7 linked regions of the Kluyveromyces lactis genome follow. The protein of the gene in region 4 interacts with the protein of the main gene of each other region in a pairwise test. Links are inferred from orthologs where the notes say so. Each region holds a gene or a part of one and is shown on either strand. Other genes may lie near its edges. The genes, in order: MCM5, RAD51, SAP1, SMT3, HMO1, TDP1 and SRP1.

Evidence for each region.
Region 1: the proteins of SMT3 (region 4) and MCM5 interact in binary tests that used the Saccharomyces cerevisiae proteins (3 or more experiments, as listed by UniProt). The link is inferred for Kluyveromyces lactis from reciprocal best matches to the Saccharomyces cerevisiae genes SMT3 and MCM5.
Region 2: the proteins of SMT3 (region 4) and RAD51 interact in a two-hybrid assay, tested with the Saccharomyces cerevisiae proteins (2 studies listed by BioGRID). The link is inferred for Kluyveromyces lactis from reciprocal best matches to the Saccharomyces cerevisiae genes SMT3 and RAD51.
Region 3: the proteins of SMT3 (region 4) and SAP1 interact in a two-hybrid assay, tested with the Saccharomyces cerevisiae proteins (2 studies listed by BioGRID). The link is inferred for Kluyveromyces lactis from reciprocal best matches to the Saccharomyces cerevisiae genes SMT3 and SAP1.
Region 5: the proteins of SMT3 (region 4) and HMO1 interact in a two-hybrid assay, tested with the Saccharomyces cerevisiae proteins (2 studies listed by BioGRID, with this or other methods). The link is inferred for Kluyveromyces lactis from reciprocal best matches to the Saccharomyces cerevisiae genes SMT3 and HMO1.
Region 6: the proteins of SMT3 (region 4) and TDP1 interact in a two-hybrid assay, tested with the Saccharomyces cerevisiae proteins (2 studies listed by BioGRID). The link is inferred for Kluyveromyces lactis from reciprocal best matches to the Saccharomyces cerevisiae genes SMT3 and TDP1.
Region 7: the proteins of SMT3 (region 4) and SRP1 interact in a two-hybrid assay, tested with the Saccharomyces cerevisiae proteins (2 studies listed by BioGRID). The link is inferred for Kluyveromyces lactis from reciprocal best matches to the Saccharomyces cerevisiae genes SMT3 and SRP1.

Annotation. Positions count from the first base shown.
Region 1 is NC_006040.1:778,788-783,013, forward strand, and holds MCM5 (MCM DNA helicase complex subunit MCM5), read left to right. Parts: upstream 1-1,485; coding exon 1,486-3,726; downstream 3,727-4,226. Other genes in the region: mRNA splicing protein SMD2, read left to right, coding at 4,069-4,226. UniProt on the Saccharomyces cerevisiae protein: Acts as a component of the MCM2-7 complex (MCM complex) which is the putative replicative helicase essential for 'once per cell cycle' DNA replication initiation and elongation in eukaryotic cells.
Region 2 is NC_006041.1:1,798,048-1,800,940, forward strand, and holds RAD51 (recombinase RAD51), read left to right. Parts: upstream 1-1,283; coding exon 1,284-2,393; downstream 2,394-2,893. Other genes in the region: Arf family guanine nucleotide exchange factor YEL1, read right to left, coding at 1-376. UniProt on the Saccharomyces cerevisiae protein: Required both for recombination and for the repair of DNA damage caused by X-rays. Its function may be modulated by interaction with other repair proteins. RAD52 interacts directly with RAD51, via its C-terminus.
Region 3 is NC_006041.1:395,527-399,489, reverse strand, and holds SAP1 (putative AAA family ATPase SAP1), read left to right. Parts: upstream 1-1,273; coding exon 1,274-3,463; downstream 3,464-3,963. Other genes in the region: TED1 (Ted1p), read left to right, coding at 1-836.
Region 4 is NC_006039.1:125,580-127,723, reverse strand, and holds SMT3 (SUMO family protein SMT3), read right to left. Parts: upstream 783-2,144; coding exon 501-782; downstream 1-500. UniProt on the Saccharomyces cerevisiae protein: Not known; suppressor of MIF2 mutations.
Region 5 is NC_006040.1:1,520,488-1,523,335, forward strand, and holds HMO1 (Hmo1p), read left to right. Parts: upstream 1-1,421; coding exon 1,422-1,463; intron 1,464-1,655; coding exon 1,656-2,348; downstream 2,349-2,848. UniProt on the Saccharomyces cerevisiae protein: DNA-binding protein that is probably part of the rDNA transcription apparatus. Acts synergetically with the RPA49 subunit of RNA polymerase I during rDNA transcription. May participate in mutagenesis control.
Region 6 is NC_006042.1:884,402-887,737, reverse strand, and holds TDP1 (tyrosyl-DNA phosphodiesterase 1), read left to right. Parts: upstream 1-1,342; coding exon 1,343-2,836; downstream 2,837-3,336. Other genes in the region: methylenetetrahydrofolate reductase (NAD(P)H) MET13, read right to left, coding at 1-450. UniProt on the Saccharomyces cerevisiae protein: DNA repair enzyme that can remove a variety of covalent adducts from DNA through hydrolysis of a 3'-phosphodiester bond, giving rise to DNA with a free 3' phosphate.
Region 7 is NC_006040.1:729,689-733,024, reverse strand, and holds SRP1 (karyopherin alpha), read left to right. Parts: upstream 1-1,219; coding exon 1,220-2,836; downstream 2,837-3,336. Other genes in the region: KAR1 (Kar1p), read left to right, coding at 3,325-3,336. UniProt on the Saccharomyces cerevisiae protein: Functions in nuclear protein import as an adapter protein for importin beta nuclear receptors. Binds specifically and directly to substrates containing either a simple or bipartite NLS motif. Promotes docking of import substrates to the nuclear envelope.

The sequences.
Region 1 (4,226 bases), on a different chromosome or scaffold from region 4:
AGTTTGACGTCGTAGCAACTGGTGATATGTGCCGTGGAGGCACCCCCATGGTAAAACTGTTGGGAATATTCACAAGTACAAACAAACATACATACTTACTTACCATAAACTCTCACAGAGGAACCCGGAAATACGACTGGAGATGCAGCTGGAATGGGGGTTTTTCTTTGAGAGCTAGTTCTAGCCATGGCAATGACTGAATGCTCGATACTGACGTTTCAGTGCTGGATTCATCTTACTGGAATGGCTAATAATAAAGCATGGGGTGGCAAGAGCGAGGGATATCTACATGTAAGGCGTGTATGAGCGCGATTACTTTCTAGACGTGCGCCTATTTTTTTTCTTGTTTTTCTTTTTTTCTAATTTGCTTTTTCCCCATAGTGTAGTTAACATTAAATCGTATGATATTCTGCAGGCTGTTCGCACAAGCTCAACACGGGGTTAATAAGGGCGCTAAGCCGGGTGAGTCTAGTGCTGAATCAGATCAGGAACACACTGGGAGAGAGAGAGGGAGCTGATGATGCGCGGACAAATGAATAACAGACTTGAAATTTTTTACCTAATGCTCAATCAATGATTTCCTAATCCCAAAATCAAAGAAAAATTTTCTGACTAGAATGCTTCCATAATTTTTCAATGATTTTGGCGGCTTGAATTGTGATGAATGCATTCAACATTTTTTGCAGTGCGGTTGAAAGCACAGGCAAAGTGATTCGTCTGTAGTAATTCTAAGAACATTCTTGTGACATTTACTCTCCACCTTTATATTGTTGTAACAGCTGTTGGTCTGGTGACCGATCATGAGGTTTTTCCTAGCCGTTTCACTCAGTTCAAGTCGTAGAAAAATTTAGTCGGGATTCAGTCTCCTCTTGCCCCTCTTCACCAATATGGCTGAATACCGGATTTTTTGCATCTTTCATTTTTGACCGATTAAAGAACGGCTTGAAAAATCAGTACGCTTGATTTTGCTAGATAGCTAAGTTATCCTGGCTTGGCCTTTTGCCGCTTTTGGTAAGGTGGCAGGAATTTTTCATTACATTTCAGCGGTTATTCTGTGTAGCGAAGTTTCTCCGATTTCTAAGATCAGAACAAACCACGAAAGCAATGCACCCTTATTGACTTTCCTTATTCGGTGCAGTTGGTTGTTCGAGCAACGCGTCGTCACCTAAATTGAATCCCTCAAGGCAAAAAGAAAACCGCATTTTAACCTTCCGGGTCACGTGTTGAGAAGTGTTGTTTCATATTTATTTTTCTTTCGGTTCGATCAATTACTTTTCCGTATTAGGTTAAGCGAAGATCAAGCTTTTTTTTTTTTTGATTTGGAATTTTATTCTGTTTTGAATATCCGGATTCAATCGCGACTTAAATTACAACAAACATCATACATCTTAAAGAGTATCCGTATTACATGTCTGTGTTTCTAAGTAAACTGCTGAGATAGGTATTATACAATTTCAAGGGCAACAAGTCAATTGAAGACAGGCCATGTCGTTTGATAAACCAGAGATCCATACCACTAGAGTGTTGGCAGGTGAAGAACTGTCTTCCAATGAAAATTCAGAGATTATCAAATCTTTTAAGAGTTTCATACTGGAATTCAGACTAGATTCCAACTTCGTTTACAGAGAACAACTGAGAAATAACCTGTTGGTTCATAAATACTTCCTTGACGTGAATACGGAGCATCTTATTGGATATAATGAAGATCTATACAAAAAATTACAGGATGAACCGATAGATATTATCCCGTTGTTCGAACAAGCAATAACTCAAGTGGCAAAGAGAATTGTTTTGTTATCGCAAGATTCTGATATTGATCCAGAGACAGCGTTGTCGAACTTCCCACTATGTCAGCTCATTTTAAATTCCAGTTCTATGGAAATTCCATTAAGAAGTTTGGATTCGGATCACGTTTCTAAGATCGTCAGAATTACAGGGATCATCATCTCATCCAGTGTCTTGACATCAAGAGCCACTCAGTTATCGCTAATGTGTAGAAGCTGTAAACATATGACAACTTTGAAGTTGAACAATTTCCAGAATTTGAATAACAATAACGTCCAGTTACCTCGTGAGTGTCTTGCAGATCGTTCCAACGAAACAGATGAAACAGCAGCTTCTTGTGGCCCTGACCCATATTTAATCGTACACGAATCGTCACAGTTTATTGACCAACAGTTTTTGAAACTACAAGAATTACCGGAATCCGTGCCAATTGGTGAATTGCCTAGAAATTTACTAATGACATGTGATAGATATTTGACCAACCAAGTTGTTCCAGGAACAAGAGTTACCATTATTGGTATTTATTCCATCTACCAATCCAAGAATAAGAGTATTAATAGTTCTGGAAATAAAGCTGTGGCGATCAGAAACCCTTACGTGAAAGTTATCGGGATCAAACACCTATCAAATAATCCGTTAAACAATTCTCTATCTATGTTTTCGGAAAGTGAAGAACAAGAATTTTTGGAGCTTTCCCAACGACCAGATCTATATGAACTTTTCGCCAACTCAATTGCTCCCAGTATCTATGGTAACACTGATATCAAGAAAGCCATCGTTTGTCTCCTTATGGGCGGATCGAAGAAATTGTTACCAGATGGTATGAGACTAAGAGGTGATATCAACGTGCTACTGCTTGGTGATCCTGGTACTGCAAAATCCCAACTGTTGAAATTTGTGGAAAAAGTTTCTCCGATTTCGGTATATACATCTGGTAAAGGTTCTTCTGCAGCTGGTTTGACGGCAAGTGTCCAAAGAGATCCAACTACACGGGAATTTTACCTAGAAGGAGGTGCAATGGTGCTTGCTGATGGTGGTGTTGTCTGTATTGACGAATTTGACAAGATGAGAGACGAGGACCGTGTTGCCATCCATGAAGCCATGGAACAACAAACTATTTCCATTGCTAAAGCCGGTATCACTACCGTTTTGAATTCTAGAACTAGTGTCTTAGCTGCAGCAAACCCTGTTTACGGTAGATATGATGATTTGAAATCACCGGGTGAAAACATTGATTTCCAAACTACCATCTTGTCCAGATTCGATATGATCTTCATTGTTAAAGATGATCACAATGAAGCTAGAGATATCCAAATTGCGAACCACGTCATGAACATTCACACAGGAAGAACTCAACAAAACGATCCAAATGATAATTCCAACTCCAACAACGAAATTCCAATAGAAACTATGAAGAGATATGTTAGTTACTGTAGGTTAAAATGTGCCCCCAGGTTATCTCCTGAAGCAGCCACAAAATTATCTTCTCATTTCATCACTATTAGAAAACAATTACAAGAGTCCGAAAGACATTCCAATGAGAGGTCTTCCATTCCAATCACAGTTCGTCAATTAGAAGCCATAATTCGTATCACAGAATCTTTAGCTAAATTAGAACTGAATCCAGTAGCGACCGAAAAACATGTTGATGAAGCCATTAGATTATTCCAAGCTTCTACGATGGATGCTGCCTCTCAGGATCCTATCAACTCCCAGGAAAATGATACAACAATGCTCTCACAAATTAGAAGAATCGAATCTGAATTGAAAAGAAGGTTGCCAATAGGATGGTCTACAAGTTACAAAACTTTGCAAAGGGAATTCGTTGTGAACAAGAAACTTCCCCAATATGCGCTAGATAAGGCGTTATACCTGTTAGAAAGACATGATTCTATTCAACTAAGACATCAAGGTCAGAATATTTATAGAAGTGGAGTATGAAGTTGCAAATGAAATTCAGGAACCCCTCCTTGAACATTGTCTATAACTCATATGTACCACTGTGTATAAGGAATTTCAGCGACTATGTGTTGATATTTATATAGTGTAAGATTACCCGGATAATGATAATGATAATTGGATAATCCGAAAGAAAACAACTGGATGGTATATTGGGTTTGATGCACAGGATGAGATGATGAGATGACCAAAGAAGGAACCTCTCATATCATATGGCAATCAGGACAAGTTATCACAAACTTACGAGATTGCAAATATCATAAGCCAAGGACTTATCTTCAGGATTTGTCTGTTACATATACTAGAAAATTGACCTAAAACACGATGGCCGATACATATATTCCAAAGACAGACCTTTCAAGGTCTGAACTATCTAGAGACGAGCTAACACAACTAGAAGAATTCGAAATGAAATATGGACCCATGTCTCTAATCAGGGAATCAATGCTACAGAGGACACCTGTTATAATATCACTAAGGAA
Region 2 (2,893 bases), on a different chromosome or scaffold from region 4:
GTTCATCGGTCCATTGAGCAGCAAGTTCTTCTAAAATATTGTCTAGCGGAGTAGCTTCTGCGATCAAATAAAGACCATGGGATAGCTTTGATAGAGTAAGATACAACGAAGTCGGCCAAGGTCTCAAAAGGTTCAAAAATTCCGTTAGTACGCGCTTATTCTCCTTTGCACCTAACCAATTCGCATACTGTGTATATTCCAAGGGCCGGTAAGTCTGTTTCAGCATCTGGTCAGCCGTTTGTAGATCTGCATCGTTAATAAACGCATGGATATTCGTCATCTTCGGAGATTCCACTATTGGTGGATCGGACTGTTCATTGCCTACCATCAATCTGTTATGATTCTGGTTCTTATTAGGAGTTATAAACGCACCCATCGATGGCAATTATGGCAATTTTCTGTATGTGATTCTATCCCTACACTATGTATAATCCTCTGCTTAAAGCCCTTTGACATACGCAAAACACCTTTCAATTCTTCTCTATCCAAGGTAGAAGCCAAGGTTCAAGCGGTCAGCGAAGAATTCAAGGATTCCCCCACAAAAAAATATCCGAGACAGAAAGGCTGAACTTATTAATAAGACGTTCTTGAGAACTTGGCGATCAAATCTATCGCTGTTTAATAGTGCCTGATGTAACGGTTGGCCATTTTAAAATTCCTTTTAAGATTTCATTTTGGCAACAATTTCGATATTTCTTTTCATATTATTGCCTAATTCTGATATAAAAGTAAAGCCGCTAAGAAAAGCCGCTAAGGAAAGACGCAGTGAGACAAAGATCAACATCTATTGTACATGATAACACTGCAAGTAATATGGCTTTCTACAAACATATATGGCTCACTACTTTATATTTATCAGTACTATGTAGAAAAGATGGAAGACAGAACAAGCAATGCACTGCATGTGTTACACTTAAACCTTTCGAACTCAGTTCCGGTGATGGTCATGATGGGGAGGACCATGATGAGATAATCTTTCTTGATCCACCACCCACCGCAATATGACATGTGACTGAAGAGTCACGTGCCATGTAAATAAACACTCTTCAGGGACTGTTTACCATTTTAATTTGTTTTGGTTTGAAATTTGAATAAAAAAAACAAAACACCAAAACACGAAAAAGGCTATATAATTTAATTATTAATTACATTACATGAGACATCATTAATCAATTACGTTCACTTTTCTTGGGAGAAGCAGTTTTCTATCCTAGTTGTGAAAGGGTATTGTAGTGGTTATAAGGTCGCTTGAACCAGGCTAAATTGACTCCACAGAATTAGAAATGTCACAGGTGGAAGAAGTTCAGACTACTCAGGGCCATTCTCAGTTGATGGTCTCACGAACCGAAGAACAGATGGAAGATGTTCAGCAAAGAATTCAGGAAACGGATTTTATGGCTGAAGAAGACGATGTGGCTCTAGCCGCCTTTGTCCCAATAGAGAAATTGCAGGTGAACGGTATCACTTCTGGTGATATCAAGAAACTAAGAGAAAGTGGGTTACACACAGCGGAGGCGGTGGCATATGCCCCCAGAAAAGATTTAATGGAGATTAAAGGTATATCAGAGGCTAAAGCTGATAAGTTACTCGCTGAAGCGTCGAGACTAGTGCCTATGGGTTTTGTCACTGCGGCTGATTTTCATTTGCGTAGAAACGAAATGATCTGTTTAACTACTGGATCGAAAAATCTTGATACTCTACTTGGCGGAGGGATAGAAACCGGATCTATCACTGAACTGTTTGGTGAGTTTAGAACTGGTAAATCGCAACTTTGCCATACATTGGCTGTCACATGCCAGATACCTTTGGATATGGGAGGCGGTGAAGGCAAGTGTTTGTACATTGATACGGAGGGTACATTCAGACCGATTAGGTTGGTTTCGATTGCGCAGAGGTTCGGTTTGGACCCTGACGATGCTTTAAATAACGTTGCATATGCAAGAGCTTATAACGCAGACCATCAATTGAAATTGTTGGACGCAGCTGCACAGATGATGAGTGAGTCAAGATTTTCGCTGATTATTGTCGATTCTATTATGGCATTGTACAGAACCGACTTCTCGGGACGTGGTGAGTTAAGTGCAAGACAGATGCACCTTGCCAAGTTCATGAGATCATTACAAAGACTAGCTGATCAGTTTGGTGTCGCAGCGGTAGTGACAAATCAGGTTGTGGCCCAAGTTGACGGAGGAATGATGTTTAACCCTGATCCAAAAAAACCGATTGGTGGTAATATCATGGCTCATTCCTCCACTACTCGTCTTGGATTCAAGAAGGGGAAAGGTCCACAGAGATACTGTAAAGTGGTAGACTCACCATGTTTGCCTGAAGCAGAATGTGTGTTTGCGATCTACGAGGATGGTATCGGAGATCCAAGGGAAGACGATGATTGATCTGATTCTCTTTACCTGGTTATTCATAACACCAAAAAAAAAAGAATAAAAAGAAAAATCCACATTTTTAATATAGCATTCAATTTCCTACGTTGCTAGTAAAACCCCACTGCGTATCTATCTTCTCATTTATTTGTTCATATCATTCGTGTTATAAATAGTCCATAGGGCACGTTATTCTATATGTATATTCATGCAAACCCTCTCTAGTTGTTAAATGCTCGCATAAAACGCATATAATTCCCTCAGCGAAAAGGGACGACTATCCTTTCATTTAAGGGACTTGCATATCATAGCTACAAACACTTCTCCATGTCAGTGTGCTATTAATAGGCTTGACTTCTTTTAATATTCTTTACCTCATCACACCGGAATTCCGAACGTCAACAATCTGAAGCGAAATTTTTGGAAATTTCACCATTTCCACATATAGACAAGAAAGAGTAATTTTGCATTTCTATATAAAACACGTTAACTTTGTAAAACAAAGGTTTGCGAGA
Region 3 (3,963 bases), on a different chromosome or scaffold from region 4:
TGAACAAAATCAGAACCGGCGATCGTCCCATGAATTTTAGTTTCGGTTATCAAGATATCTACAATTGGACTTCAGCCGAAAACTATTTGTTCATCAATGTTTCTGGAAACCACGATATTGGCTACTCTGGAGATGCCACTTATCAACACATGGCAAGATATCGCGAACTCTTGGGAAAAGATAATTATTGGATTGAATATAATGCTGGCACCGATAATGCATGGAGGATAATTGTTTTGAACGATTTATTATTAGAAGGACCTGCACTACAACCAGAATTACTTGAAACCAATTGGGAATTTTTATACCAATTATTTGAAAGGAAATTCGAAGGTAGTACGGTATTGCTCACTCACATACCATTTTATAAGCCATCTGGACTGTGTTACGATGGCCCAGAATTCAGATACTACCCAGAAGATTACCAGAGAGAGCCTTACAAGTCCAAGCTATTGAGATCACAAAACCATTTGAGTGCTGAAGCTTCTAACAGGGTACTTAACTTAATATTTGATGCTGAAAAACCTGGTATCATTTTGACAGGTCACGATCATGAAGGTTGCGAAACTGTCTATAACAAAGATGACAAAGGCAATTGGACTGCATCCAAAACAACAGATCCAAAAAATCTAAATATCAAAGAAATTACTGTAAGGTCGATGATGGGAGAATACCATGGAAACACTGGTCTAGTAACAGGTCATTTCAACGAAGCAACAAGACAATGGGAATGGAGTTTCAATTTATGTCCATTTTCCATTCAGCATATATGGTGGTTTACCAAGGTAGTCACCATTATAACCGGCTTTTTGTGGTCGTCAGCATTTTTCTTCTAATTGACATGCTGAAAGCAGCATATTCTGTTGGGTATACCAACAGTATGGTATCTTAACTTGTAAATGCAACATCAGATTTATTTTGGTCACTGTATATATTCGTACTCTATATTTATAATTGATACTGAGGAAAACGTTGAGTTAGAAGATTGCAATTTTAAGTTGAAAATACTGAAGAGAGCTGACTGTGTAAATAGAACGGGTGCATGTCCTACTCCCGTTCCACAAGCTTGCCTGGCTTTGATGAATCCCTTTATTCACGTGACCTGTTGTTTTGACAATTGTCTTGACGCAACAAATAGAACAGATCAATCTTTCTATAATTCTAAGCCATATTTAAGTATCTGCAAAGAAAAGGAATGATTAACGCAACAACAAATGGTAAGATATCAAACTAGAAGGAAATCCTAAGTTCCATTTTCTAGTGAATCGTAATAATGGATAATCATGGGCTACTAATGAAGTTTTCTAGGATTCGAAAGAAGCCTCAGCAGCCCCTAAATTCGTTGGCAGAACTATACTCACGCATAGCGAATGAAACAATACATTATTTAGGTTTAGAACAAAGACATGAGTACAAGGCAGCAATTCAAGGATGGAAACTAATGGCTACTGATGCAATGTATAAGCTGAATAATATTGACCGTCAATATCCTAACTTCGCTTCATATACCGAGGAGGAATTGAATCTTCAGACAGGAATACGTGAGTTGTGCGATAAAGCAATGAAAAATGTGGAAAGAGTGCAGTTGTTATGTGAAGATGTACCGAAACCTGATAATAACAGCGGAAAAACATTTTCTATTGGAAATGGTGGTAAATTTAAGGTCCATACGTTAAGAGATGGGATGTACAAGATGCGATATAACAAGAGTGGCAGTGGTTTGGGATTAAAAAACGACAAGAATGTACAAACGGCGAACCCTGTAAATTTTTCTGCATCCAAATCTCTACCAGCAGTAATTCCTCAGGATCCCTTTGAAGACTTTGATAATGAGGTAAATTTAATTGATTTAACGGATGCCGAAACTGTCCCCTATGATCCTTCTCCTCTTCCGACGTTCAGTATATCTTCTGATCCAAAACAGGAACCATACACGGATTATTTGAACATCAGTGAAGAAGACATGACCAGACTGAAAACATTGGATAAATTGAATGGTACAGCAGATGCATTTTCATTACTAAGCGTGGATACTGCTGAGGCACAGCGTCCTTCTCCCAGAAGACCTTCTCCTCCTCCAGTACCGCCTCAGAGGAAACCCAGTGCGAAACAGAAAACTACAACTTCAGACACTAACGTTGACGCAGCATTAAAATCCTCTCCACCTACACAACCCAAGCAGCAAAGGCCTGTTCAAAGGCGAAATACGTCTATCAGCGCAGCTGTCGCTGCATCGCAACCACAGCTTAAAGCAAAAGCTGTCAAGCGACCTGTCGTCACTGCCAAAAAATCAATTCAGAACGGCAATTCAACAAGTAAACTCAAGAAACCAATTTCAAAATCTAGTCCCTCATTAATAAATACTGTGGTTAGAACAACTTCTCAAACCAAAACTAGGGTAAATCCAACATCTGTTGCAGCTACTACAAAAACATCTGCTATATCAACTAATCCTACAATAACGAAACCAGCCCCACAAAGTTTGGATGAAGTTACACAGACGAAGGAACAACTAGAGGACGAGCTTATTGAATCATTGCCTGGTGTTGATAAGACTGCTGCTAAACAAATTTTTAGTGAAATTGTCGTCCACGGAGACGAAGTGTACTGGGACGACATTGCCGGTTTGGAAACCGCAAAGAACTCTTTGAAAGAGGCAGTTGTATATCCGTTCCTAAGACCTGACCTATTTCGTGGGTTAAGAGAACCTGTAAGAGGAATGCTGCTATTCGGCCCTCCTGGTACTGGTAAGACCATGTTAGCTCGAGCCGTTGCGACAGAATCCAAATCTACATTTTTCAGTATCAGTGCATCAAGTTTAACATCCAAATATCTTGGTGAATCAGAAAAATTGGTAAGAGCCTTGTTTGCAGTAGCCAAGAAGCTATCACCGTCCATCATATTCGTGGACGAGATAGATTCCATTATGGGGTCAAGAAATAACGAAAGTGAAAACGAATCAAGTAGAAGAATCAAGAATGAGTTCCTAGTACAATGGTCATCGCTATCAAGCGCAGCAGCTGGTAAAGATTCCAAAGATACCGACGACCGTGTCCTAGTTCTTGCTGCTACAAATCTCCCGTGGTCTATTGACGAAGCTGCCAGAAGAAGATTCGTCAGAAGACAATACATTCCTCTTCCTGAGGCGACCACAAGAAAGGTTCAGCTCAAAAGGCTTTTACTAAACCAAAGGCACACCCTGACAGACGAAGAATTTGAAGAATTGGTTCTGCTAACAGACGGGTACAGTGGCAGTGATATCACATCTCTTGCCAAAGATGCGGCTATGGGACCCTTACGTGAACTAGGAGATGAACTACTATTTACGGAAACAGATAGTATTAGATCCGTTAATTTGGAGGATTTCCGTAACAGCTTGAAGTATATCAAACCATCCGTCTCAAAGGACGGTTTGAACCGTTACGAAGAATGGGCAGCCAGTTTCGGATCATCCGGAGTATGAACCTCATGATTCAATGGAGTCTCCCGTTTCTTGTCCGTCTCTTGTCGATCCTTATTACGTTGCGTCCCGAGATCAGCCCATCGATATCTGACTGATAAACATTACTGGAAATACCGTTGCGGAAAAACCGTTGCCGATACCAAAATCTAAACATTTTTTTTTAGGGCGGCGAAAACCGAGTCACGTGACAGCATAGATTTGCATTGTTTCTATGATCTTTTTTCGATAAGATAACAGATTATACTACCGAACTATCGTTACTTGGTAATTAAAACGGACTATATCAGATATCTGAGGATGAGGCATGCGTAAATGATACAGCGTCTGCTAGGAGTACAGCGTGTCTATTTGGCATCATAGCGGATACAGGGAAACATCGGATCAGAAATGTATAAATATAACAGGGTTGTAATGTTTCAATTACAATCTGTTTCTTAGTGTCAGCATTATAATTTTAGGGTTTCATGTCATAATTTGTATTATCTAATATAATATTTAAA
Region 4 (2,144 bases):
TACCAAATTCAAAACGAGTGTGGCAGAAAACTATTAACAAGACAGCTAATATTTCTTCCACTTCTGGTAAATTATTCTTTCTAAAATCATTTACTGTAACAGTTATACTAATTGAAAAGAATGTTCACCATACTAGGAAGGAAAATGACTTGAAAAAAAAAAGACCTAAAAACGCGAAACTTGAAGCAAACCTAGCTTTTCGAATCGAAATAGGAATACAAGGGTGGTAATTTGCAGGAGGTCTGTTATAAGCCCTGCCATTTGATACCCAATCTCTTTTTTCTTTCCATTCGGATTTCATTTCTAATTCCATACCGACTGTTTTCCCTGGGGAAATGCAGATAAGCTTGCGGGCACTTTTCTTGTTGTTCATCCAAAGTAGTTTTAATATTCCAGATACATAGTCAGTTATTATAACATTAGATAGGTTACATTGAAAGATAAAAAAGGATGGGAATGCTGTAGTTGATCCCACTTACTGCTGCAAAGTACACTCCCAATTACAAACTACCACCAATTTGCTCTCTGTGAGCTTCAATGATATCGTTATCTTCCATGTCCAAATCTTCAGGGGTCTGATCTGGTAACACACGCACACCGTCGTAAAGGAATCTTAGGGATTCAATCTCTTTACCTTGTCTCTTAGCAAATGCCTCCATTAATCTTTTTAATGGAGTGGTCTTTTTGATCTTGAAGAAGATCTCACTGGATCCATCCGAAACCTTCAAGTTAATATGTGTTTCTGGCTTAACATCCACCTTTTGTTCTTGTTCTTCTGACATTTCAAACTGTGGTTATATATATAGGCGTTGAAGAATGGAGAAACAGGATTCAATGAATGTTTAAAGACTCGCTTTTTCTTCTTCTAACTCTCGGCAGTATAGATTGAGCTTTTGTTTGTTAAGGTAATTTGTATTGTTGAACTAATTCCTGGCCAAAAAAAAAAAATACTGTAGTCCTGAAATTCGACTGTCAACTGACATGGAAAAGAGCTCTAACAAAAAGCAGTTTCCTTCTTCCTTTTGAGAGCATGAAAATGAGAAGTTAGGGGAGGGAAGGGTAACGACCCACAGGCACGTGATCTTTCACTCCTGCCCATTTTGTTTTGCTGTACTTGGCAAAAGGATTAATCGTAACCCGGCCATGGCCGGGTTACACTTAGCCGGAAGCCGGAAGTTTCCTTTTGCCAAGTACAGCAAAAAGATAAGACGCGTGCTACAGCGCGCAAATGCCCTGTAAATATAAATCACGAGGGCACTTTCCTTTCAGTTTTTTGGATAGAGCTTCAGTCCGTGTTGCATTGGATTTTTGTCGCCGAACGCTATCACCACCGCTCATTCGTTTGTTCCGATAAAGCTATAACTGTCTGGGCTATATTGGAACCTTAAACCCGTTCTCTCAAGTGCCATTAAACTAAAAGCACCGAGATTATTACCCTATCTTTCTTATAAAAAAAGAAATAGAACCTCCGTAGACCGTTTCTCTTAGCCCAATTTGGGTTTTCCACCTCGTTCCTTTTTATTTTAGTTTCAGTTTTCTATTTTGTCGCCCTTGCAGGTGATGGCTACATCCTCTACTGGAAGCTCCATCGAGAAATGGAAACTGCAGGACCATATTCTTTCATTGCTGCGGTATTAACTGGGTGAAGCTGATCATTTGAAAAAGAAATAGGAAGGTGTATGGGTTGTTCCAGGAATATTTAAGGCTCTTCTCTGGACAGCCCTTAGAATCCCGCGCCAGGGATTGTTCGAAAGTGGCGTATTGAATCTTTTTGTATGCAGTTTGCGGTCTTTTCTTTTGGTTCATGGCACAATCTTATTTTCTTTACTTTTTTTCATTCGCAGTAACGTTAAGAAGTGTGTCACAAGATGACGAGATGAGACGATGTAGCCATTGAGCGATCCAAGACTGGAGGTACTTTAGAAGCTGTTAGATGCGTAGCTTAGCCTCAGCCAAAGAGATGGCAATCGTATTCTGATTGCCTTTTCCCTCAGTTCCTTCCCCCACCTGCCCATGGTTAGTAAATTGGATGATTTGGTCCTGATAACTCAGAAATCACTCTAGTTAGTAGTTGGTAAGTAATATACTGATCGATTTAAGAATGAGATGATGTATTATAATGTTCCTAGTGATTATCTGGGACG
Region 5 (2,848 bases), on a different chromosome or scaffold from region 4:
ATCTTCATCAAAAAGCTCTTCATAATCATAATATTTAATGAAATTTTCATAATCTGAATAATATGCGTAAGTACATGCTTTAAAATAATCTGAAAGATTATTTTCTAATTCTAAGCAGATTTTTAATTGAAATTGAGAAATTGTCCTGTACTTGGAATGTCTTCTAAACTTTTTTCTCACCCTCGCACCTTTTCTATCAGCTCTCACGTTTTATATTGCAAAATGTATCCATTTTCTTCATTTTCTTACTACCCTGAGTTGTTTTTCTAAGTATTTTTTTAGGTGGTAAAACTCGCGCTTTTACCATTTTTCCTTTTTTCATCATTACCCCTTTCATATATGCGCATCTCAAATATGCTCTAATGGCAAGTTTCGTTCTATTATCCCTCATAAGAACCGTAATCTCCCTAAACTAACGCCTTTCTAAGCAGTGTGTTATTTCTCTTTAGTTTTGAAAACACGGTTTGTTGGGCACCATATTTGCTGAACTGTCTAGCGAACTATCCATTTATAAGTGAAAGATGGTTCATTTTCATTTGCTCATGTTAAACTATGGCGTTGTAAGAGCATTTCTAAGGCGCCAGTTATTGAACCAATGCTAGATAAGAAGCCGAAGCTGAGAAGAACTAGGATCAAGGCTACAGCGTTTGGTGATTGGCAAGACAATCCACAAAGTATATAAGTAGAAGGTTCCTTCATAAAATTTACCTATTTGGATTTGACGACACATTAATTATTGTTCTACATTAACTTATATGTCAGATGTAAGAAACCAAGGAGAACACCATATATAGTTACTTCGTCAGTCGAAGTTCGTATACCGTTCACCAATTCAATCATCAAACAATTTCACTATTAAACTTTTAAGACGGAATGGCATCTTTTGACATGAATACTACTAACCATCTAAGCGAAGTCCCTACTACCAGATCTGATCATCATTCGGTCCAACGGCCCACACTCTTTCATTTTTTTTACTAACTTTTCAAAATAAAAAGAATGAATGTTCGGAATTACCATGTTTTTGATTTTATACAATCTCGGTAGGAACGCGTTAGATAATTCCTGAGAGTTTCTGGGTCTTCTTTCATTCTTCTTTAATTCTCCGTGAAACAAACGCATCACCGGAAAAAAAAGGTTGCTATATTAGTTACCCGAACTTTATGTGGGGAATTTAGATGTATTACCCGGTTGACTATATTTGTATTGACCAATCAAATTACATAATGGTAACTTGATCGTTGGGAGTCTCTTTTTTTCTTCCAGGCTGAGTGTTTTTCATCTTGAAAGGAGAACCATAAAAATCTCAGAAGGACTTACTGGGAAGCTAATGGGAGCTCCGTTTAACAACTTCCTTCCAGAACGACCCTTCCAACAGACTTCGAAAGAGTTCTACACGTGAATCCACCAAAGATTTTAAGATGTCCGAACCTAGTATCAAACTAAGAACGGCGAAGGACTCTGTACGTTACTATCATATGAAGCTGTAAATCACGGTGTCGCAGCTGAATATGGAACATATCATAACAGTAAGTTTCCATGTATGCTCCTCATTCATAGGTGAACTGTTTTACGATGTGTTTTGTATATCTATCGATGCTTGAGGCGTCATCTCGACCAGCTGTACTAACAACAATAATCCTAAACATCAACAGTTAGTTTCCTCTCTATTCGAGCTATCAAAAGCTGCTAACCAAACTGCATCATGTTTAGTTGACTTCTACCATTCGATCGGCGATGATGAAGAAGAAAGAATCGAGGCCTTTACTATTTTGACAGAGGCGTTACAGAAGTTAACTTCTTCTACGAATCAATTGAATTCCATTAGTACTGAGCTAACAAACCCTATTGAAGATGAGAAGGAAATTCCCACCACTGACGCAGCTGCAAAGGTTGTCAAGAAGAAGATTCCACGTGATCCTTATGCTCCAAAGAAACCGCTTACCGTCTTCTTTGCATATTCTGCGTATGTTCGTCAAGCTTTGCGTGATGAAAGACAAAGAGCTGGTCTCCCACCATTGTCTTCGACTGAAATCACTCAAGAAATTTCAAAGAAGTGGAAAGACTTAGGAGACTCTGAGAAAGACAAATGGAAACAAGCGTACAACGCAGAACTAGAAAATTATCAAAGGGAAAAACAAAAATACTTGGAAGCTAAGAAAAATGGTACCTTAACATTAAATGAAGGTCCAAATTCTGCCCCTGTTCCACTTCCTGATTACTTGCAATCTGCCGAAGATTTCGGCTTGCCCCATATTGAAAAAAGACCATATGATGAAGATGCTTCCAGTGAAAAGAAAAAGAAGAAAAAGAAGAAGGATAAGGGAAAAGACAAATCTAAGGACTAACGAGCTGGGATTTATATAATGCTTCATACATATATATGATGACACTCTTTCTTTCTTTGTAAAAATAGTTGTAACAATGTGTAATAATATACAAGAAATATAAGAATAATACATTTAATCTGTATGGGATGATCTTCACAGCACAAGCTGCTATAGGAAGCATTGTGGAGTAATTGAAGATTTTCTTTGTGGTATTGTTTCAAATTTTTCATATCACTTCACTTATTTTTATTCTTTCCCAATTGAAATTAATCTTTGATCCTTTAATTTGTAAAACACTTACGTGCAATTCAGTACATGGACCTTATTTTCGTACACACGTTGTTCAAATACTATGCCAAAATAATGAGTGGTATATTTTAATGTCAAGTCAACGTATAACTTATCTACAATGCATCTATGCAGTGCCAAATTTCTTCAAATATTCCGCCGTCAGTTTACTTCTTTGAATTACTCGGTGACAAGTTTGAAAGAATCTCATTTAGCATTGCTGATCAACT
Region 6 (3,336 bases), on a different chromosome or scaffold from region 4:
ATGGTCCCCGTATTGTTCACGTATGTAAGAAACTAAATCCTTGGCGTATCTGAATCCGTTTTCACAAGGCTTCCATTCTTCTTCTTCTCCTAAAGAATTGATAGGTGGATCACCTCTCAACGCAAGAATATTTTCACATCCCGCATCGTAAGCCTTCTTTAAAGCATCATCGATCTGTGACACTGGCATGTTGGTACATGTTAAGTGCATACACGTCTCAAGTCCTAAAACACCTTGAGATGTGGCCACAAGGTCCGTGGAAAGCATGCTTAGACGACCACCGGCGTTCCATGTGATATCAATAAATTCAGGTTGGGTCTGATACATACGATCCATACGTTCGTATAAGTTTTGGACACCCTGAGATGTTTTTGGAACAAAGAACTCGAACGAGAACGTAGCATCCTCGCGCTCCTCATGCGCTCGCTGTAACTTCTGAGAGATTCTCATCTTCTATTGGTGGTACCTATGATTCTTCTTTAGACAGAGTATATCACAAATAATAATTAAGAGTAATAAATGAATTTATGAATCCAGCTGAGATAATGGATGATAGTCAGTCTAATATCAACAGTAGCTGCTAGACTCCAAACAAGTTTGCTTAGTTAAGTATCAGCACTTACTCATACCAAGGTACCAAATGAATAAAAACTTGAGGTAATGTGAAAGTTATACCTATACTGAACGAACTCTATATATATATATATACGCATGACCGATTCTCACTATATTCAGTGAAAAATACCGATCATCTTCGAGATAGAAAGAACGATGTGCTGCTACCAGTCGTTTACCTTGTGAAAAAATCAAATATGAGAACTCTCGCACACAACTGTCATTCTGAAACTCTCTTCAGTAACCTAATACCTTTCATACCGTAATTGTGTGCGACTCGATTGTACAAATCATGTGAATCATGATGTAAAAATAAGTGCACATGCAACTTGTTGAACCGACGAAAATGACAATTATGACAAAACGACAGATATGCTAGTGTGAAAATAGTGCATCCTGTTTTATCCTGCGAAATTTTTGCAGGACATGCGCAATTGTGTGTGTTGTCGGTGTTATAATTTCGGTGAACCGCCCCGATTGTGGGACAAAAGTGCATTCCCTCGGGAAAAAAAGTGTAATGGGGTTTACACTAAGTCACGTGAAATATACATATCACGTGTTGTGTTGATTTTGTTATCGTGGATCTACTCGATCCAGTACATGGCCTTAATAGTTCAACTTAGAAGCTAAAGAGTTGCAGGGAAGATGAATTGCGAAGTTCAAGGCAGAATTAACATATTGGTATTGGATTATATGCCGTAGAAGTTATTGAGTGAGTGCTTGTGACATGGGTGTGAGAGATACAGTACGATCTCATTGGGCTACCTTGGGGACAAAATCCGATAGTAAGCCGGTTGTTCCAACAACGATAGGTTCAGGGCGGAATGTGTCAACTGCAGCGCCAGTTGCTGCTACCGCACCAGTTTATAGCCCTTTTAAAGTGGTAAAAAGTGTCATTTTCGATGGTGATTCAAGACAACCAGATATGTTCGAGTTGAATGATGTACTTTCGGACCCATCATTGAATGAAGTCTGGTTATTTTCCTTTGGATTTCAAATCAATCTTATCATGTCCCCGATCAAAGATCACGTTAAAGTTCATATAGTGGGTCAATTGAACACAATCAATTCGGAACAACCGATATCGCATTATGCAAACCTGAAAGTGCATCGAGTTGATATTCCCTCGCCTTGGGGTTGTCATCATTCCAAGATTATTTTCTCGTTTCATCAAAATGGGACGATGAGAATGCATGTACCGTCATTTAATCTATCTCGTGAAGAGATGAACTTGGTTCAGCAGACAGTATGGACCTCACCCCTGTTATACGAGAAGTCAGAAACAGTACCGAAAAAGAAATCCCGGTTTGAGGACGAATTATTGGAGTACCTTAATTCGTACTCATCGTATACGTCATTATATGGTTTGATTGCATCTTTAAAGCGGTACAAATGGCATGTCTTGGACGAACAAAATTGTCAATTTGTGTACTCAACCCCATATAACGGTGGTTTGACACAATTGAAGTCGTGTTTGAGAGCATCTGGTATGAAATTGCATGGCGATGAAGAAGATGATGATCTTTCATTTGTAAATCTTTTCATACAGGTAAGTTCTATGGGGAACCCATTCAGAAAAAAATTCGATCTCCTACAGGACGTTATGATACCGTACTTATACACCGATTGGTTCGAAAAGGATGGGTACGATAAAAAATTGAAATCCAAGGAATATACGACACCGTTCCTAGCGCACTCGACATTGGTATGGCCTACTAAAACCGAGATCAAAGAGTGTATGACACAGGGGCTAAGTGCAAATTGGTTTTTTTACAAAAGATCAGAACAAACTGAGAGGAAAGTAGTGCCTTGTTTAAGAAAACATGTCCCTCTGCCAACAAACGCGACACAGTCCGATAAGAATAGGCATATGGTTCCAAGCCATACCAAATATTATATACAATTCACAGATGAAAATACACTCAAGCGACCAGATTGGATACTACTCACCAGTCATAACCTTTCCCAAGCTGCATGGGGTCCCAGCCCACTAAAAAAACCTACCAATTACGAATGCGGTATTCTATACACGACAACCATGGGGAGAAACAAAGTACGGTTAACACTAGCAAGTGCCCAACAACCGCCAGGAAGAACAATTGGGTCAAGGGTACCCGAAGACATAACTGTTCTGCCCACAGTAAAAGTGGTGACGCCGTATCCATTGAAATTTCAGCGTTACTCAGCAACTGACGAACCTTATACCTCTGTCGTTCAATGATGATATACACAATAATACCATCTAACAACATTCTAAGGCGCTGACATCTGTCAGCGCTTTACGTTACCCGGATTATTTAGGTATCACACCGGAATAACAGAAAAATTGACAATGTCCGCATCATTCCCACGCATCACGTGCCCCCACCCTTTTCCGTCGTTTGAACACCTATACACCTCATCGCCTCCATCAATCTCATCTGCTATGTCGTATTCTCCCGTCGCCAAAACAGGTTTTTTCAGCAGATTTGTGATGGCGCACTTACTATGCGCTAGCATATCTATGAGATAAATACAACGGTATAGCAACCCGCGAATCGCTCGACCCGTACAGTCGAAACGAATAAAAAAAAGCTTATGCAGCGCATATATATTCCTTTAAAGGATTTTGATTTCACCAATATATAAAGAAATATAAGAGGGTCATTTCAGCACCAGGGAAGTTGTTAGTTCTTTAGAGTCGTTATTCCTTTATTCATTGTATTATCTTCTGTTTTGTGT
Region 7 (3,336 bases), on a different chromosome or scaffold from region 4:
TGTGTTAAATTAACACAGTATATACTACTCAATCTCATCTATCTGTGTCCTAATTTGAAAATTATTCCATTTCATGAATGAAAAAAAATTGACGTTTATGAACCGTACAGCAGTGTGTGTGTTGTGAAAATTCATAATCGTCGATATTTGGAGTATATATATAACAAAAAGGAATGGAGTGCAGTAGGTGAACCGTGTTTCTTTCTTGGCGTTGAATTCTGAATCTTTCCCGCCTGTTCATTCGAGCACTCATTTATTTGTGAGGGACATTTTCAAAATGCTGCTAGAGAGAACATGTCAATAAAACATCAACTGAGCGGTTTTGTCCATTCCTTTTTCTCTCCCTCAAATCATTCCATCCATCTCCAATACCCAGTGAATGTATTTTTGATGCTTACTAAAGGGGGAAATAGAAAAAGGAACTTATGCTAGTTGATTGTATCACAATTCTTTCGCTTCTACTCTCATCAACTTACCCTCATGTATACTTTAGTGTGTGTGTATCATGAGAATGAATGAGGAACGAAAACAAGGAATCCCCGGTGATATATTTATATTACCAACCATCCCAAATATATTATGTATACGTATATACATCTCTTAATATGTGTTGAAAAGTGTGTCAAATTGACCCTGCCCATCTTTTCCTGTCTTTTGATGTTAGAACCTTTGTCGTTTTCTTACACGAGGTTGGTATGTCACGTGACAACTCCGTACATCACGACTATCTGGCAAAGAAATTTCAACCAAAAAAAAAAATTCGAATTTTTTGGATGGCCAAAAAAGAAGGATTTTAATCAAGATGGATATTATATGGGATTGAATAAAAGATTGGTTTGCATTCTACTTCAATTACACTGTTACATATATAAAACAATACGGTGCTCTTGGCTTCCGATATATTTTTCTGTCAAGCAATACAAAGAAACGAATCAGATTTTCATTTACTCAAGGGGAAACGCTATTTGTGATTGTTAGAGATTGATTTTGCGACTGATAATTTCTTCTTTAAATCCAACTTCTCTTTATTTTTGTTTGATTTGGAACCCATTTGCAAAAATATCTACTTGAAAAGACGGGACGATCAATTGTGATTGTGAGTTTGGTAGAAAGGAATTAGTTACAATCTTTTTTTTTACTTCTCTGAATTTTCTTTGGTTCGCGGCTAGCACGAAGGATCAGATAGCAGGTATCCGTTTTATTATTTTATAAGTGAAAGATGGACGGTGACACTTCCAGCAAGTTTGTTCCTGAATACAGGAGGACAAACTTCAAGAATAAGGGTAGATTCTCTGCTGATGAATTACGTCGTCGTAGAGACGTTCAACAAGTCGAGTTGAGAAAAGTCAAGAGGGATGAGGCATTAGCAAAAAGAAGAAATTTCAATGCGCCTGTTGGTAACGATTCTGATGATGAAAATGATGATGATGACGATCAGGACTCCTCTTTCTACAGACAATTACAACAGGAGTTGCCTGCTATGTTGGAACAAATCCATTCTAACGATCTACAACAACAGTTGGCTGTGACGGTCAAGTTTAGACAAGTCTTGTCTAGAGAACACAGACCACCTATCGATTTGGTTATCAGTACTGGCGTAGTGCCAACCTTGGTCCAATTCATGAGCGAAAATCAACCTGAGATGTTGCAATTGGAAGCTGCTTGGGCGTTGACGAACATTGCTTCTGGTACTTCTGAGCAGACTAGAGTCGTCGTAGATGCGGGTGCTGTGCCATTATTCATTCAATTATTATATTCAAACTCGGTTGAAGTGAAGGAACAAGCTATTTGGGCCTTGGGTAACGTTGCTGGTGATTCCACCGATTATAGAGACTACGTTTTGCAATGTGGTGCCATGCAACCAATTCTATATTTGTTCGAATTGAACAAGACTTCCTTGATTAGAACAGCTACGTGGACTTTATCTAACTTGTGTCGTGGTAAGAAACCTCAACCAGATTGGTCTATCGTGTCTCAAGCTTTGCCAACTTTGTCTAAGCTAATCTACTCCATGGATACTGAAACGTTAGTCGATGCTTGTTGGGCTATCTCATATCTTTCCGATGGCCCGGTTAATTCGATCCAAGCGGTAGTAGATGCTAGAATCCCAAAGAGACTTGTAGAACTACTATCCCACCAATCTACGTTAGTGCAAACCCCTGCTCTAAGAGCTGTAGGTAACATTGTCACAGGTAACGATTTGCAAACTCAGATCGTTATCAACTGTGGAGCCTTGGCAGCTCTAAGAAATCTATTGGCTTCTCCAAAGGAATCCATAAGAAAGGAAGCTTGTTGGACCATCTCTAATATAACCGCTGGTAATACGGAACAGATTCAAGCCGTTATTGATGCTAACTTAATTCCACCATTAATCAGATTGTTGGAAACTGCAGAATATAAGACAAAGAAAGAAGCATGTTGGGCCATCTCGAATGCCTCTTCTGGTGGGTTACACAAGCCAGAAATTATCAGATATTTGGTCAGTCAAGGCTGTATAAAACCATTGTGCGATCTATTAGAGATTGCTGATAACAGAATCATAGAGGTTACACTAGATGCTATAGAAAATATTTTGAAGATGGGTGAAATGGATAGAGAAGTCAGAGGTATTGCCGTGAACGAAAATGCTGATTTCATTGAGAAAGCTGGTGGTATGGAAAAGATCTTCAATTTACAGTCTAATGCTAACGAAAAAATTTACGAAAAGGCCTTCAAGATCATTGAAAAGTACTTTAGTGATGAAGATGATGTTGTTGATGAATCTATGGCTCCACAAACAGCTGGTAACACTTTTGGATTTGGATCAAATGTCAACCAGCAATTCAACTTCAATTAAAACCAACTCTAGCTGTGCGTGTGTCATGTAATTACATTTGCTTTTTTTATTCTAGACAATAAATGAATACTACGCGCCTGTTAAATATCATATAATTTTTGCATTAATGTAATCTATCTATAGTATTATTAATCTACACTTCTCCCTTCATTGTGAAACAGAATTCTATGTCATTAAAGGGCCCAAGTCTTATTTGCAGTTTTGAACCACGATAAAAGTAAAAACTGTGCTCAAAAAACAGTATCATGGACCTTCTCTCTGTCATAGAAATTAGGTGACCAGTTAGGTGCATATCACTTTCGGTGTTACCTCTACATGTTCCGATGCATAATATCAACATTTAAAGGTTTGGATTTTTGTAAACCTTTAAAAATACACAATCGAAATTTCCTCGGTGAAACATCGCCTATAATCACACGAAAAGGAAATATCCAATGCATATGTGCTACTTCAAAGCTCGGAGTTGAATATTACGCTGATGCGATAATATGAGTTCAATG